Linked DNA regions of Canis lupus familiaris. The protein of the gene in region 3 purifies or fractionates together with the protein of the main gene of each other region. This does not show direct contact. Links are inferred from orthologs where the notes say so. Each region holds a gene or a part of one and is shown on either strand. Other genes may lie near its edges.

The links.
Region 1: the proteins of CD84 (region 3) and SH2D1B purify together in Homo sapiens (affinity purification with western blotting; 3 studies listed by BioGRID and IntAct, with this or other methods). This does not show direct contact. The link is inferred for Canis lupus familiaris from reciprocal best matches to the Homo sapiens genes CD84 and SH2D1B.
Region 2: the proteins of CD84 (region 3) and SH2D1A purify together in Homo sapiens (affinity purification with western blotting; 4 studies listed by BioGRID and IntAct, with this or other methods). This does not show direct contact. The link is inferred for Canis lupus familiaris from reciprocal best matches to the Homo sapiens genes CD84 and SH2D1A.

What each region holds. Positions count from the first base shown.
Region 1 is NC_049259.1:21,004,340-21,008,660, reverse strand, and holds the start of SH2D1B (SH2 domain-containing protein 1B), read right to left. Parts: upstream 2,725-4,321; 5' UTR 2,604-2,724; coding exon 2,440-2,603; intron 1-2,439. UniProt on the Homo sapiens protein: Cytoplasmic adapter regulating receptors of the signaling lymphocytic activation molecule (SLAM) family such as CD84, SLAMF1, LY9 and CD244. In SLAM signaling seems to cooperate with SH2D1A/SAP.
Region 2 is NC_049260.1:96,500,752-96,505,023, forward strand, and holds the start of SH2D1A (SH2 domain-containing protein 1A), read left to right. Parts: upstream 1-980; 5' UTR 981-1,177; coding exon 1,178-1,314; intron 1,315-4,272.
Region 3 is NC_049259.1:22,540,438-22,544,658, reverse strand, and holds part of CD84 (SLAM family member 5), read right to left. Parts: intron 3,229-4,221; coding exon 2,881-3,228; intron 1,333-2,880; exon of another isoform or gene 1,089-1,332; intron 1-1,088. UniProt on the Homo sapiens protein: Self-ligand receptor of the signaling lymphocytic activation molecule (SLAM) family.

The DNA.
Region 1 (4,321 bases), about 1.5 Mb from region 3:
CTTTTTTTTTTTTTTTTTGAAGTTTCTATTTACTTAAGTATCTCTGCACCCAACATGGAGCTCAAACTGATGACCTCAAGATCAAGAATCACACGCTCCTCCAGCTGAGTCAGCCAGGAGCCTCAGTACCAAACACTCAATTACTGTAGAAATCAGTCATTTTACAATGTTTTTAAATATTTGCTAGAGCTAGTTCCTCCCTTTTCTTAAGATTTTATTTTTAAGTAGTCTCCACACCCACAACCCCCGAGATCAAGAGTCAGATGTTCCCCTGACTAAGCCAGCCAGGTGCCTCTAGTCCCCTTTTTTAAATAAAAAACTTTTTTGGCTATTCTAGCAAGTTTCCTGCATTCCACATCCCACCTGAATGCATTTTATGATTCTTGAAGAAAACTTTAAAAATTCTGTTGATTTTTTTTTACTGGAAACATACCAGATTTATAGATTAATTATGGTAAGCTGATATGCTTCTAAATTGAGTCTCTGATTTGATGTACATCTTCTAGTGAATTCCTCAGTAGATTCTGAAGTTTTCTCAGACAGATCTTCCACCTTCCACATTTCACATCACATTTAACCCTGGGTATTATTATTATTATTTTATTTTTATTTTTATTTTTACTAATGTAAATTACCTGTTTTATCATATTTTCTTCCTGGTTACTTTTTTTTTCTTCCTGGTTACTTTTATTTTTTTTTCTAGCTATTTTTTTTTCTTAATTAAGAAGCTATGATTTTGATTTCAATTTTATAAGCAGATACTGTTATTGAATTTTCTTAAATTTGCTTTTTAGGGTTTTTTCAATTAAATCTTAGATTTCACAGGGATGAAGTCATGTCAACTGCAAATAATAATAATTTTGTGTCTTTCTTTTCAATTTTACGTTGATTTCCTTTGGCTAATAACACTTGCCCATATCTCTCAGAAAATGCTCCATAGTAGTGTTGGTAATGAGTGTCATTGGCTCATTCATTATTTTAGCAGCAAATATTAAGAAATTAAGATAATTAGATATTAATTAGATAATATTTAATTAATCTTGCATCACTAAGAATATGTAAGTACATGTGTGCATGTGTATGTGTGTGTATTAAGGGATGAATGTTGAATTTTATCTAATACCTTTTAAGCACATTTGAGTGAGTTATGCAGTTTGTCAACTTTGATCTACTAATATGTAATTAAGCTACTAATTTACCCAATGTGGAACCGTCCTTGACTTCTTGGAATGGACCAAACTTGAACTTAGTGTATTTTCTTCCTTAATGTGTTACTGGCTCCTGTTTTGTTAGCAGTTTATTGAAAATGGATCTTAATTGAAATTGGTCTATAGTTTTCTTTTGTGTCCGTGTCCTTAGGAAAAAAAAATATTTTACCTTCCTAAATAGAAACTAGGAGGAAAAACAAAAAAACAGTAAACAGAAGAGAAACAACTCAAGCTAAAAATGGGTGAAGAAGGTGACTGTGCAATTCTCAAAAGAGGAATTACCAGTGGCTAAAAAATACGTGTAAACTTTCTCTTCATCCCTGAGAGTGAGAATTCAAACTGCTAACCCTCTTAAGGCTACCTTTCTTTTACCTGCATCCTTGGTATCATATAAGGAAAAAAAAAGAGATCTCTGCTATTTCGTCAGTATTAAATCTCTTTTGTCCTCACACTCAGAAACACTAATGCATATGCGTAGACACATTTGGGTTTTTATTCCTCTAGTTGCTAGAAGAAAAATTTCAGTGATCTCTCTAAACAGAACATTTTAAGATAGTAGGTTCCCATGAATACCTGTCCAGGATTGTTTCCTTAACGGGACTAACAAGCTCCTTCAGCAGGCGAGCTACTAGAATTTCATGCTGAACTCTTTGGAAATGCCAGGAGAATTTTTTTAATATGAGCAACTTGGTTGAGAAATCAGGGTCTCTGATTCTTCACCTAGAAAATGCTCATGCTGGCCTTGATAGGCTATAGGAAGGACGAAAGGATATGATGCATGCTGAGGCTCTGTACCAACCTTAACAAAATTTGAAATCGTATTTTAAGTATCCCAAGTGGAGCCCGCAGAAAAATGTGAACACTCAAGTCTCTCAGATTAAAATTTCATAAAGGACATCTAGCCTTTTCCAGAGCAAATAAGCCATCCTCTATACACCTTCCCTGTATCCACCTCTCCTCCAGGTCTCCGCAGCCCTTCCCTTCACTGCCACCCCCACCCCTGCTGCTGCAGAGGGGCTGCTGGGGTGGCATTTGCACCAGGGAGAGAAGGGCAGGTGGAGGACCTGGGACAGACACTCTCCTTGCAGGCTCTTTAAGCACTGCCCACCTTGTTCACGTTCTGCTCATTTGGGCCACAAGGGCAGAGTGAAATGCAATTTCTTTGGTATTTGGCTGTATCAGCACCGCATTCAGGGTAAGGTTCTGAGGTGTGAAAGATAAAACTACTCACGAGACGCAGAGGCACAGAACTCCTGGCAAAGACTCGCTGTCCCTTAGCAGGAAGTTGCCATCTATCCCATCCTTGAGCAGCAGGGTCTCACAGTCTTTCTTGGACAGAGGGCCATGGTAATAGGGCAGATCCGTGGGGAGCCTTCGGATATCCCTGTAATCCATGCCCAAGCCCCGGGTCAGCTCCAAGGATGGAACTGGAGGAAGGGGCCTCACGGGGTCTGGAGGCGATTCTTCCGCCAGCTGGTAGGAGTGAGACGAGGCGGCTCTGCAGGACTCAAAACAGTTTCACAAGATTCAGGAAATGAGAGGGGTGGGGTGATGAAGTGACCACACACTTCAGCCTTAAGTGACCGTAGTGTGACTCAGAAGTATGTGAAAGCAGGTTGAGTACAGTCTACTCGGTGATGTTTCATGTCTGGGGCTGCGGTGCTGAAGCTGAGCTCCCTAGAAGTGGGTTGCAACCCTGTATAACACCCTAGATCACCCATTTTCACCCTCTCTGGCTGCCGATGTTCCTTTCAGGGAGCACGCCGCTACCTTTTGCTGTGACAGATGCCTATTTCCTGCTGAAGCTGCCTATGATAATGCTAGGCTAGGATCGTAACAGGTGCTCAAAAAGTGTTCAGACGCTGAATGAGCCCAGGTACGTCCAGATGTAATGGAACAGTTGAGTAGGATGTGCACGGGTCAAATGCATGAAAAATGGAAGATGTCAGTGGGAATGGAAAGCAATTGAACACGGTGGGGGGGGGACAGCCCGTCCCTGGTTGAGCCTCCTAGCCATTGATGAAGAAAGGCTGCTGTGGACATTTTCCAGCATTATGCTTTCTGGGGAAGGAGCTGGTGCAGGTGGGAGGGACATCTGAGTAGGCACAATTAGTTCAGGGATGCATCTCTAGGTGGAAGAAAAGAATATAGTAACCTTGGTTGACTATCCTTGAGACTTTGAAACTTCCATTTTGGAGGACCACAGTGATGTGAAGACCAGGAAGAAAGACCAAGAAAAGTTTATCCAGCAGAGACACTGAGCCCTCTTTAGACAGGCTGGTATTGATGAGAAACCCTTTTTTCTTTCTTCTTTCCTCCCTTCCTTCCTCCCTCCCTTCCTTCCTTCCTTCCTTCCTTCCTTCCTTCCTTCCTTCCTTCCTTCCTTCCTTCCTTCCTTCCTCCCTTCCTTCCTTCTTTTCTTTCTGAGCCTTTTCTACCTTGATTAGATGATATACTTGGGAAAGGGGCCTTCTGTCATCTGAAGGTCAGAGTTAGCCCTAAGAGTAATTTTCTTAAGATTTATTTATTTGAGAAAGAGAGAGAGAGAAAGAGCATGTGCAGAAAGTGCAGAGGGAGAGGGAGAGAGAATCCCAAGCAGATACCACACTGAGGGAGGAGCCAACGCAGGGCTCCATCTCATGACCCTGAGATCACAACCTGAGCTGAACCAAGAGTCAGATGCTTAACCAACAGATGCAACCTACGTGCCCCACCTCTTACAAAAGACTAATTTCTAAGGCCTTTTCCCCCTCAGCTTTATTGAGGGATAATTGACATATAACATTGTGTGAGTTTAGGGTGTACAATGCATTGCTTTGATACATTTATACGTTGCAAAATGATTACCACCACACCACTACCAACACCTCCATCTTGTCCCGTAAATACCATTTCCTTTTTGTGGTGAGAACACTTAATATCCACTCTCTTAACAACTTTCAATTATACAATATAGTATTATTAACCGTAATCACCATGCTGTACATTAGATTCCCTAGAACTTATTCATCTTGTAACTGGAAGTTTATACCCTTTGAACAACATCTCCTTGTTTCCTCTAAGGCCTTTCTGAGCAACCAAACTGTCTACTTATTATTAATTAAGTAATTAAT
Region 2 (4,272 bases), on a different chromosome or scaffold from region 3:
AACTGGAGGAAAAACACTCTATTAACGACAGAGGATAAAATTATTGACGCTTGTGATGTGATTTAAAGCAACTTTTATGCCCCAAATGCTGAAAGGTAGGTCCTGTACATCAAAGGGCATAAACAAGTCCACATAAAGACAAAGCACCGGGATCCCTGGGTGGTGCAGCGGTTTGGCGCCTGCCTTTGGCCCAGGGCGGGCGATCCGGGAGACCCTGGATCGAATCCCACATCGGGCTCCCGGTGCACGGAGCCTGCTTCTCCCTCTGCCTATGTCTCTGCCTCTCTCTCTCTCTCTGTGTGTGACTATCATAAATAAATAAAAATTTAAAAAAAAAAAAAGACAAAGCACCAATGAAATGATGCTTTCTCTCATCGAAAGCTCATCAAATAAAAAAAAAATGGAACGTCTTCACACATAGACTGATTTTTGTTCGTCAATCAGCACTCTGGGATCTTGGCCAAGAAAGTAGGAAAAATCAGTGTTTACTCAGGATCAAGATTGCTCAAGATGACTAGGAAGAGTAGAAAAGGAGACTTGCCCCATGTTGGTTTTTCACTGACTACTTCTGATTGTGTAGGAGCCTCTGGCTGTGCTCAGGAATGACTGCACACTGATAGTTCTGGTAGTTTCTGTGTTTTGGTCTCAGAGCTTTAGGTTCTTTCATTCTCTGTCAGCATGTTTCTGCCCCACAAGAAGGCCATGTACACCTTGCCTCTATCATCAACCCTTTTGGGAACTTAGTTAAGCTAAGTCATCTCTGGTGGCCCCTGGGAAAACTGTAAGAGTGGAAGCATTAGCAAGCATTCCTGTCTGTGTGCCAGAGTCTGCCCTGGTAGTACAGTCCATATCTTGCCAGGACATTCTTCCAATTGACCTCCCTTCTCCTTCCGAACCCTGTGTGTAGGGTGGGGTAGGGTAGGGCGGGGAGGGGGATTGAACCTTGTGGCAATAACCAAGCTTCTAAATTGCTGAGCTGGTTTTAATTGAAGTGTGAGAAGGAGGTTTTAAGGCAGAGAGACAACATCCTGTTGTTCGGGTTCGGGTGCTCCTCTCTCTTTTTCTGCACATCTGGCTGAACTGGGAGTCAGGTGGCTGACTCCGGGCCCGGTTGCAGCAGCAGTGGCATCTGCCCTCCACTGTCCCACGCCTCAGCGGCCCAAGAGTCCACCAGGCCATGGACGCGGTAGCCGTGTACCATGGCAAAATCAGCCGGGAGACCGGGGAGAAGCTCCTGCTTGCCACGGGGCTGGATGGCAGCTATTTGCTGAGAGACAGCGAGAGCGTCCCTGGCGTGTACTGCCTGTGTGTGCTGTGAGTATGTCGCGGTGGCCGCAGGCTCCAGGCCCCATGAGGGCACCGGCCGGGGGTGCAGGCTCATGTGAGGCGTTGAGGCCTCCTCCACGGCTCATGTGACGGCGCCAAGGCCTTCCCACGGTCCAGCTTAGGGGGTCGTGCTTTGAGGCCCCTCATGGGGCTTTCACTCCCAGGGCCTTCACTCTCCAGAAGGGCCTCCCTGGGTCTTTTGTGGCAGCTGCAGAGAATGCCCTTTGGGGTGGGGAAACGCAGCCTAGAATCTACCTTTGCTCTGAGAAAGATCCAGGCTCCCAACTTCCAGTTTTGACCTTTAGTCGAGGCCAGCTAGGTGGAGCCTTGGCATGGTGGACTGGCCAAAACTGGGGCCACCAGCTCCTGAGGAAAGGAAAGACCTCTCTCCAGATCCCTTTAAATGGAATTGGAGGTGTCCTCCCAAAGGAAACCATCACATTCTGGGAGAGGAAGAAGACTGAGAAACGGAATCCGTGACTTTAGGAGTGCAATTCTGGTTAGGTCGGGGTGCCAATCGGGGTATTTGTAAGTGAAACTGCCTCTTGGCATCTGCTTACTTCGCTTCTTTGAGAGAAGCTGTGTGTGGGGGCAGAGAGTTTCAGAGGTAGGACCCTTCTTGATAAAAAGCTAGGACTGACAGTAGTGGTAAAGGGCATGGAGGGAAAACACCCTTGTTATGATTCAGCTTTGCCGCTTGCCTAGGCATGCCTTAGTCTAACACCCATTTTAAATCAGATGTACCTTCATCTTTGCCTCAAGGGCTCCGAGTCAGGGAGATCTGAGACCTAATCCTGTGCTAGTCTGATGGCAGGCTTGTGACCTTGGCAAGTTGAACTCTCAGTCCTTCAGTTTTCTTGTCCATAAAATGAGTATAATAATACGACCTACCTCATAGGATGGCGAGGATCAAATGCAGGTAAAGAATTTAACACTGGACTTGACACATCATAAATGTCCAGTAAATGTAAGCTATTATCATTATTATTGTATTTTTCTCCAGTTGAGTTCTTTCAGTACTCATGGCACATTTCCAAGGAAGGACCTAGCTTGATCACTTTGTGTCACATGTGAAACACCTGTGCTGTGTAGTCGGTTCTAGTCAGAAACAAAATGAAGGAAAATGCTTGGTAGTAATTTTGATACCTAATGATACACTGCAAGATTGTGAAGTACTTTTTGGGTCCGTGAAAAAAGATCATGCTGAGGCTGTTATTAGATGATTTTCGTTTATTTTGTTTATTTATTTTTTTAACATGGTCAGGCCAAGTTTGTGGCAACTCTCAGGCCTTGCTAAGTACATTTATTATAAAGACTTCAAGAGAACATGTGGAAGCACTTGACTCTCTTGGGCTCGGATCTTTTTTTTCCTTTTGCAGTACAGTTGTCATACAGCGTTATATTAGTTTCCAGTGTACAGCATAGTGATTTGACAGTTCTACACACTACAAAATGCTCACCACGGCAAGTGTAGTCACCATTTGTCACCATACAAAGTTATTACAGTGTTGTTGATTATATCCCCTAGGTTATACCCTTCATCTTTGTGACTTATTTATTTTATAACCAGGAGTGGGGTGAGGTGGGGCGGCGGGGGTACAGATTGAACCTGTGTCAATAACCAAGCTTCTAAATTGCTGAGCTTGTTTTAATTGAAGTGTGAGAAGGTACTAGAAATTTGGACCTCTTAATTCCCTTCACCTATTTTGCCCATCCCCTCACCATCCCTCTCCCCTCTGGCAACCACCAGTTTGTTCTCTCTCTGTATTTAAGAGTATGTTTGTTTATTTTCTTTTTTAGATTCTGCATGTAAGTGAAATCATAAGATATGATATCATATGGTATTTGTCTTTCTCTGACTGACTTATTTCACTAGTCTCTAGCTTCACCCATGTCATTGCAAATGGCAGGATTTCATTTTTATGGCTGAGTAATATTCCTTTCTATATATTATACCACCTCTTCTTTATCCATTCATCTGTTTTTTAAAAATAACTTGTGTTTTTTTGTTTTTGTTTTTAAAGATTTTTATTTATTTATTCATGAGAGACACAGAGAGAGGGAGGCAGAAACACAGGCAGAGGGAGAAGTAGGCTCCTTGCAGGGAGCCTGATGCGGGACTTGATCCCAGGACTCCAGGATCACATCCTGAGCTGAAGGCAGGCCCTAAACCACTGAGCCACCCAGGGATCCCTCCATTCATCTGTTGACGGACACTTGGATTGCTTCCATATCTTGGCTATTGTAAATAATAGTGCAATAAACATAGGGTGCATGTATTTTTTTGAGTTAGTGTTTTTGTTTTCTTGGTGTCAATGCCCAGTAGTAGAATTACTGGATCATGGTATTTCTATTCCAACTTTTTTAAGGAACCTCCACATTGTTTTTTTTTTAAAAGACTTTATTTATTCATGAGAGACACAGACAAAGAGAGAGACAGAGACACAGGCAGAGGGAGAAGCAGGCTCCATGCAGAGAGCCTGATGTAGGGACTCGATCCCGGGACTCCAGGATCATGCCCTGAGCCGAAGGCAGGCTCTAAACCACTGAGCTATCCAGGGATCCCTCCACACTGTTTTCCATAGTTGTTGCACCAATTTACAGTCCTACCAAAAGTGCAAGAGGGTTCCCTTTTCTCCACATCCTTGCTGACACTTGTTACTTATTGTCTTTTTGATACTAGTCTTGGGCTCAGATCTTTATGATTTGCTTACGTTATTTTTTTCCCAAGTGGAAACTTGGGAAGGTCAGTGAAAGCCGCCTAGTATTCTTGGGCTCTTTTCATTCAAAAGAATGTGGTGGAAGGAGTGGGCAAGTGAAAGGGGCTTCTTTAGAGAGGCTGACAAAGGGGCTAATCAGCCCCTTAGCCTAGAGGCAAAAAAAGGAAGCCTGAGCAGGGGAGTAAGATGAGACAGTATGGCAAGATGCACCTAAAGACTCAGTCAT
Region 3 (4,221 bases):
TTGACCAGGCTGCTGTGCTGGGCTTTGTTCCTCCTACCAAAGCCATGTGGGAAGGGTGCAGAAGGAACCAGCATGTGGCTTTCTAGTTCATGGGGTATTTTTAAAGTTGTCCGTGCCTCTGAGGAAGTGGCATACGGTAAGGAAGAAGCTGTACATGTTTTCCATTCCAGCCTCACCAGAAACCCTGGTCCTACAAGTCTCGTAGAGGGATCTATTCCAGACCAGAATTAATGAGGACTTGTGAGAAAAAAAATTTTTTTCAAAGAAGTTTGGTGTCACCTTGAGGAGCTCCACAGCAAAATATGAGCCAACGTGTGTGTGCGTGCGTGCATGCGTGCAGGTGTGTGCAGGTGTGTGCACGCACACATTTCTTTAGAAACTTGATTTACTAGAATGTTCAAGTCTCAGCTTGATATTTACTGATTTTTTAGAGAAATTCTTTTTTTGCTGGGCATTGAAGTGGGGGATAGTTCCTATTAATTCCTATTAAGAATAGGATCCCATCTCATTTTCTCAGCAGGAACAGGGATGTTACCTGCATCAGGCTGCTGAGCAGAGAAGGGCGGGGCAGGGCTGAGCGGGGAAGCCACTGGACACCTGGGTCCAACCAGCCTCCGCTGCTCCCAGAACGGGGATGCAAACAGCTTCGCTGAGGTTTGGCTCCAACAGTTATGACACAAGGATAATTGTCTCCTGCTGGGGTTGTTCGTTGTGAAGACTAACTGAGGTATTGGGTTTACAGAACACTCTAACACCCATCCATCCATCCATCCGTCTATCACCTATCTATCCATCTATCATCGATCATCTATCTGGCCACATTAATTATCTACGGGAAAGACAAAAGAAGCCAGCAACAAGGACTGTCCCTGAGAAGGGGGAGTTGCGATGTCTTTTACTCGGTGCATGTATTGCCTAAGCATGTGTGATCTTTCTATTTTCTTAAATTAGGTGCTAGGATGACAGAAACATGGAGTTCAACAAATGTCAGTTCCCTTCTCTCTCTCTCTCTCTGTCTTTTTTTTTTTTTTTAAGATTTTATTTATTTATTCATGAGAGACACAGAGAGAGGCAGAGACACAGGCAGAGGGAGAAGCAGGCTCCATGCAGGGAGCCCGACGTGGGACTTGATTCCAAGTCCCCAGGACCATGCCCTGGGCGGAAGGCAGACGCCCAACCACTGAGCCATCCAGGGATCCCCTCCCTTCTCACTATCTTCTCCACTAACTACCCAAAAGGTACAGATTTTGTCATGTGGGAAATCCGGCCTTCTCTGAGACTTCCCCGTGGTCCGCTCTAACTGCAGACGGTATAACACCTCCCAGAAATTGAGTGAGTACAACTGAACATATAAAGAGATGAGAGCAAGGGCGCCTGGGGGGCTGAGTCAGTTAAGCATCTGACTCTTGATTTCCACTCAGGTCATGATCTCGAGGTCCTGGGACTGAGCCCGGCTTGGGGCTCTGGGCTCAGTGGGGACTCTGCTTCTCCCTCTCTCCCTCCCCTTCTGCCCCTCCACCCACTCACATACACTCTGTGTCTCTCTCAAATTAGTAATACATCTTTTAAAAAGTGGTTAAATTGTTAAATGCTGTGTTATGTAAAAATAAATAAATGTTGTGTTACGTATATTCTATCACAATAATATATATTTTTTAAGATTTTATTTATTTACTTGAAAGAGAGAATGAGCAAGCAAGAGAGAGCATGAGCGGAGGAAAGGGCACAAGGAGAGGGAGAAGCAGACTTCCTGCTGAGCAGGGAGCCCAACGCAGGGCTCCATCCCAGGACCCCAGGATCATGCAAGACCTGAGCTGAAGGCAGATGCTTAACCAACTAAGCCACCCAGGCGCCCCTCAATAAAAACATTTTTTAAAGAACAAAAAGGAAAATAGATTTACCATGTTTTCATTCTTGGGTATTTATCTTGGAGGAACAAAAACTTATTTTATGCTGAAACTTGTACGTGAATGTGCATAGCAGCTTTATTTATACTAGCCCTGAACTGGAAACAACTAAAATATCCCTTGATCGGTGAGTGGTTAAACAGACCAGTACATCTGTACCGTGGAATACTATCCAGCAATAAAAAGATACGAACTACTGATACTTGCAATAATTGGGATGACTCTCAAATAAATTATGCTGCGTGAAAAAAGCCGATCTCAAAAGCACGCATATTGCTTGAGTGCATGTACGCGGCCTTTGTGAAATAACGTACTGCTGGGTATGAAGGAGGGATTAACGTCTTCTAGGGGTTGAGGAGGACATGGGTGGCGAGGAATGGCTGAGGGCATCTTGCTGCAATGGTTCAGATCAGGATTTTGATTGCAGTAGTGGTTACAGTAGGGCACACATGTTAATAAACTGTACACACTACACTTCTACGCACATAAATGAGCACCCAGACAGCTGATGACCCCTGAATAAGCTCCAGGTACCCCAATGTCAACTTCCAGGTTTTGGTATCGAACTACAGTTACGTAAGATGTTACCGCCGGCGGAGGCTGGGTGAAGTGGACGCAGCACCTCCCGGCATGGCTCTTCACACCTCTCTGTGCATCCACACTTATTTTAAAATAAGGGTTTTTCTAGAGAAACTCTCCATATGCTATCTCACTTGATCCCCACTATGGGAAGTGAATAATATGATTATTCACATTTTATTGAAAAGAAAAACCAGGCCCACGGGAGAACCTGCTGATTGAAGATTACATGGCTAAAAACAAGCAAAATCACCTCCTCCTTGTGGGTATTGATGTATTTATAGAAGTATTTATAAGTACGGAAAGGTTTAGGGAAGCCAATAAAGAAATCAAGGTGTTCTATAGAGAGCAAATTTGCAAAACAAGCCAAGCCCTTTATCCTCCCACAACTTACGGAAGACTTGAAGGTTGTAGCGCCTGGTGGTGGTGACCATCCCTTCAAGGATCTTTGTATTTATGTCGGCTTTGTAGATGCCTGAGTCTTCCATCCTCAGATTGCTGATCTCCAGGTTGTAGTTCTGACGTGAGACATTTATTCGGTCGTTGTAATTTTGGTGGGTCACAGTCACTTTGGGTGCTGTTTCTGAGTCTCCCGGTGTTACAAAAGCAACGGACGTTTCAGAGTTCCAAACAATGTTGATGACTTGCTGTGATTCTTGGATATTTAAGGGAAAAGTAACCGACTCCCCCAGAGTCCCAATGACCGTGAGGATGTCTGTGTCACCTCTGGCTGCTTCCAGACCTGGGGACATAAATGAAAACCATAGCCTTTCATGGTTGCACCTTTTAGAGTTTCCTGTCTCCCCAAGCTTGAGCTTCCCTGAAGAGCTGCCCCAGATGCAGCTCATCCAGGTTCTGGAGGGGTTTTTTTGGTTTTGTTTTTGGATTTTTTTGGTATTCTACTCTACACATAATATGTTATGATGGCTAAATTTCTAAAGGATTATCATTCAAAAATGAAGTTTCCAGTGAATTTCAAGGGAACTGTTTCATTAAAACCATTTTATCTAGACTTATAGACTGAAAGGTAAGGGATTAGAGGGAAGAAGACCATAAACCTCCAGGAGGTTGGAGAATTAAATGTGGTTTTTTTCCCAAGATCATATTGTCAAGGGATGGAAGAGCTGGGACAAGAGCCTGGCTGCTGTGGTCTTTGCAAAAAGAAAGCTACATTTATACCTTTATTCTTGGGAGATACAGGCAGAGTGTGTTAGAGGCTCTGGAAAAAAAAAATATTTCTCAAGTTGGTAATTTGGAGGTCTTTTTTGTTCACTACTCTATCTCCAGCCTCTAGATGAATACATGACACGTAGTGGGTGCTTAGTAAATATTTGGGGAATGGATTAATAAATGGAATTCACTTATGTGTTGCCTGGAAACTCTTAGAACAACTTCTGAAGTAAGCAAAATTCATTTATTCATTCATACATTTTATAAATGAATGCATGGGTTTATTCAAGGTCAGCTCTGTCTCAAATACTATGGCAGGTAATTAGTAATTAAATTTATTTATTTTTTTTAAGATTTTATTTATTTATGACAGACACACAGAGAGAGAGAGAGGCAAAGACACAGGCAGAGGGGGAGGCAGGCTCCATGCAGGGAGCCCGATGGGGGACTCGAGATCCTGGGTCTCCAGGATCACACCCTGGGTGGAAAGCAGGCACTAAACCGCTGAGCCACTGGGGCTGCCCTAGTAATTAAGTTTATAATAGATATGTTTGCTGAGCGTCTA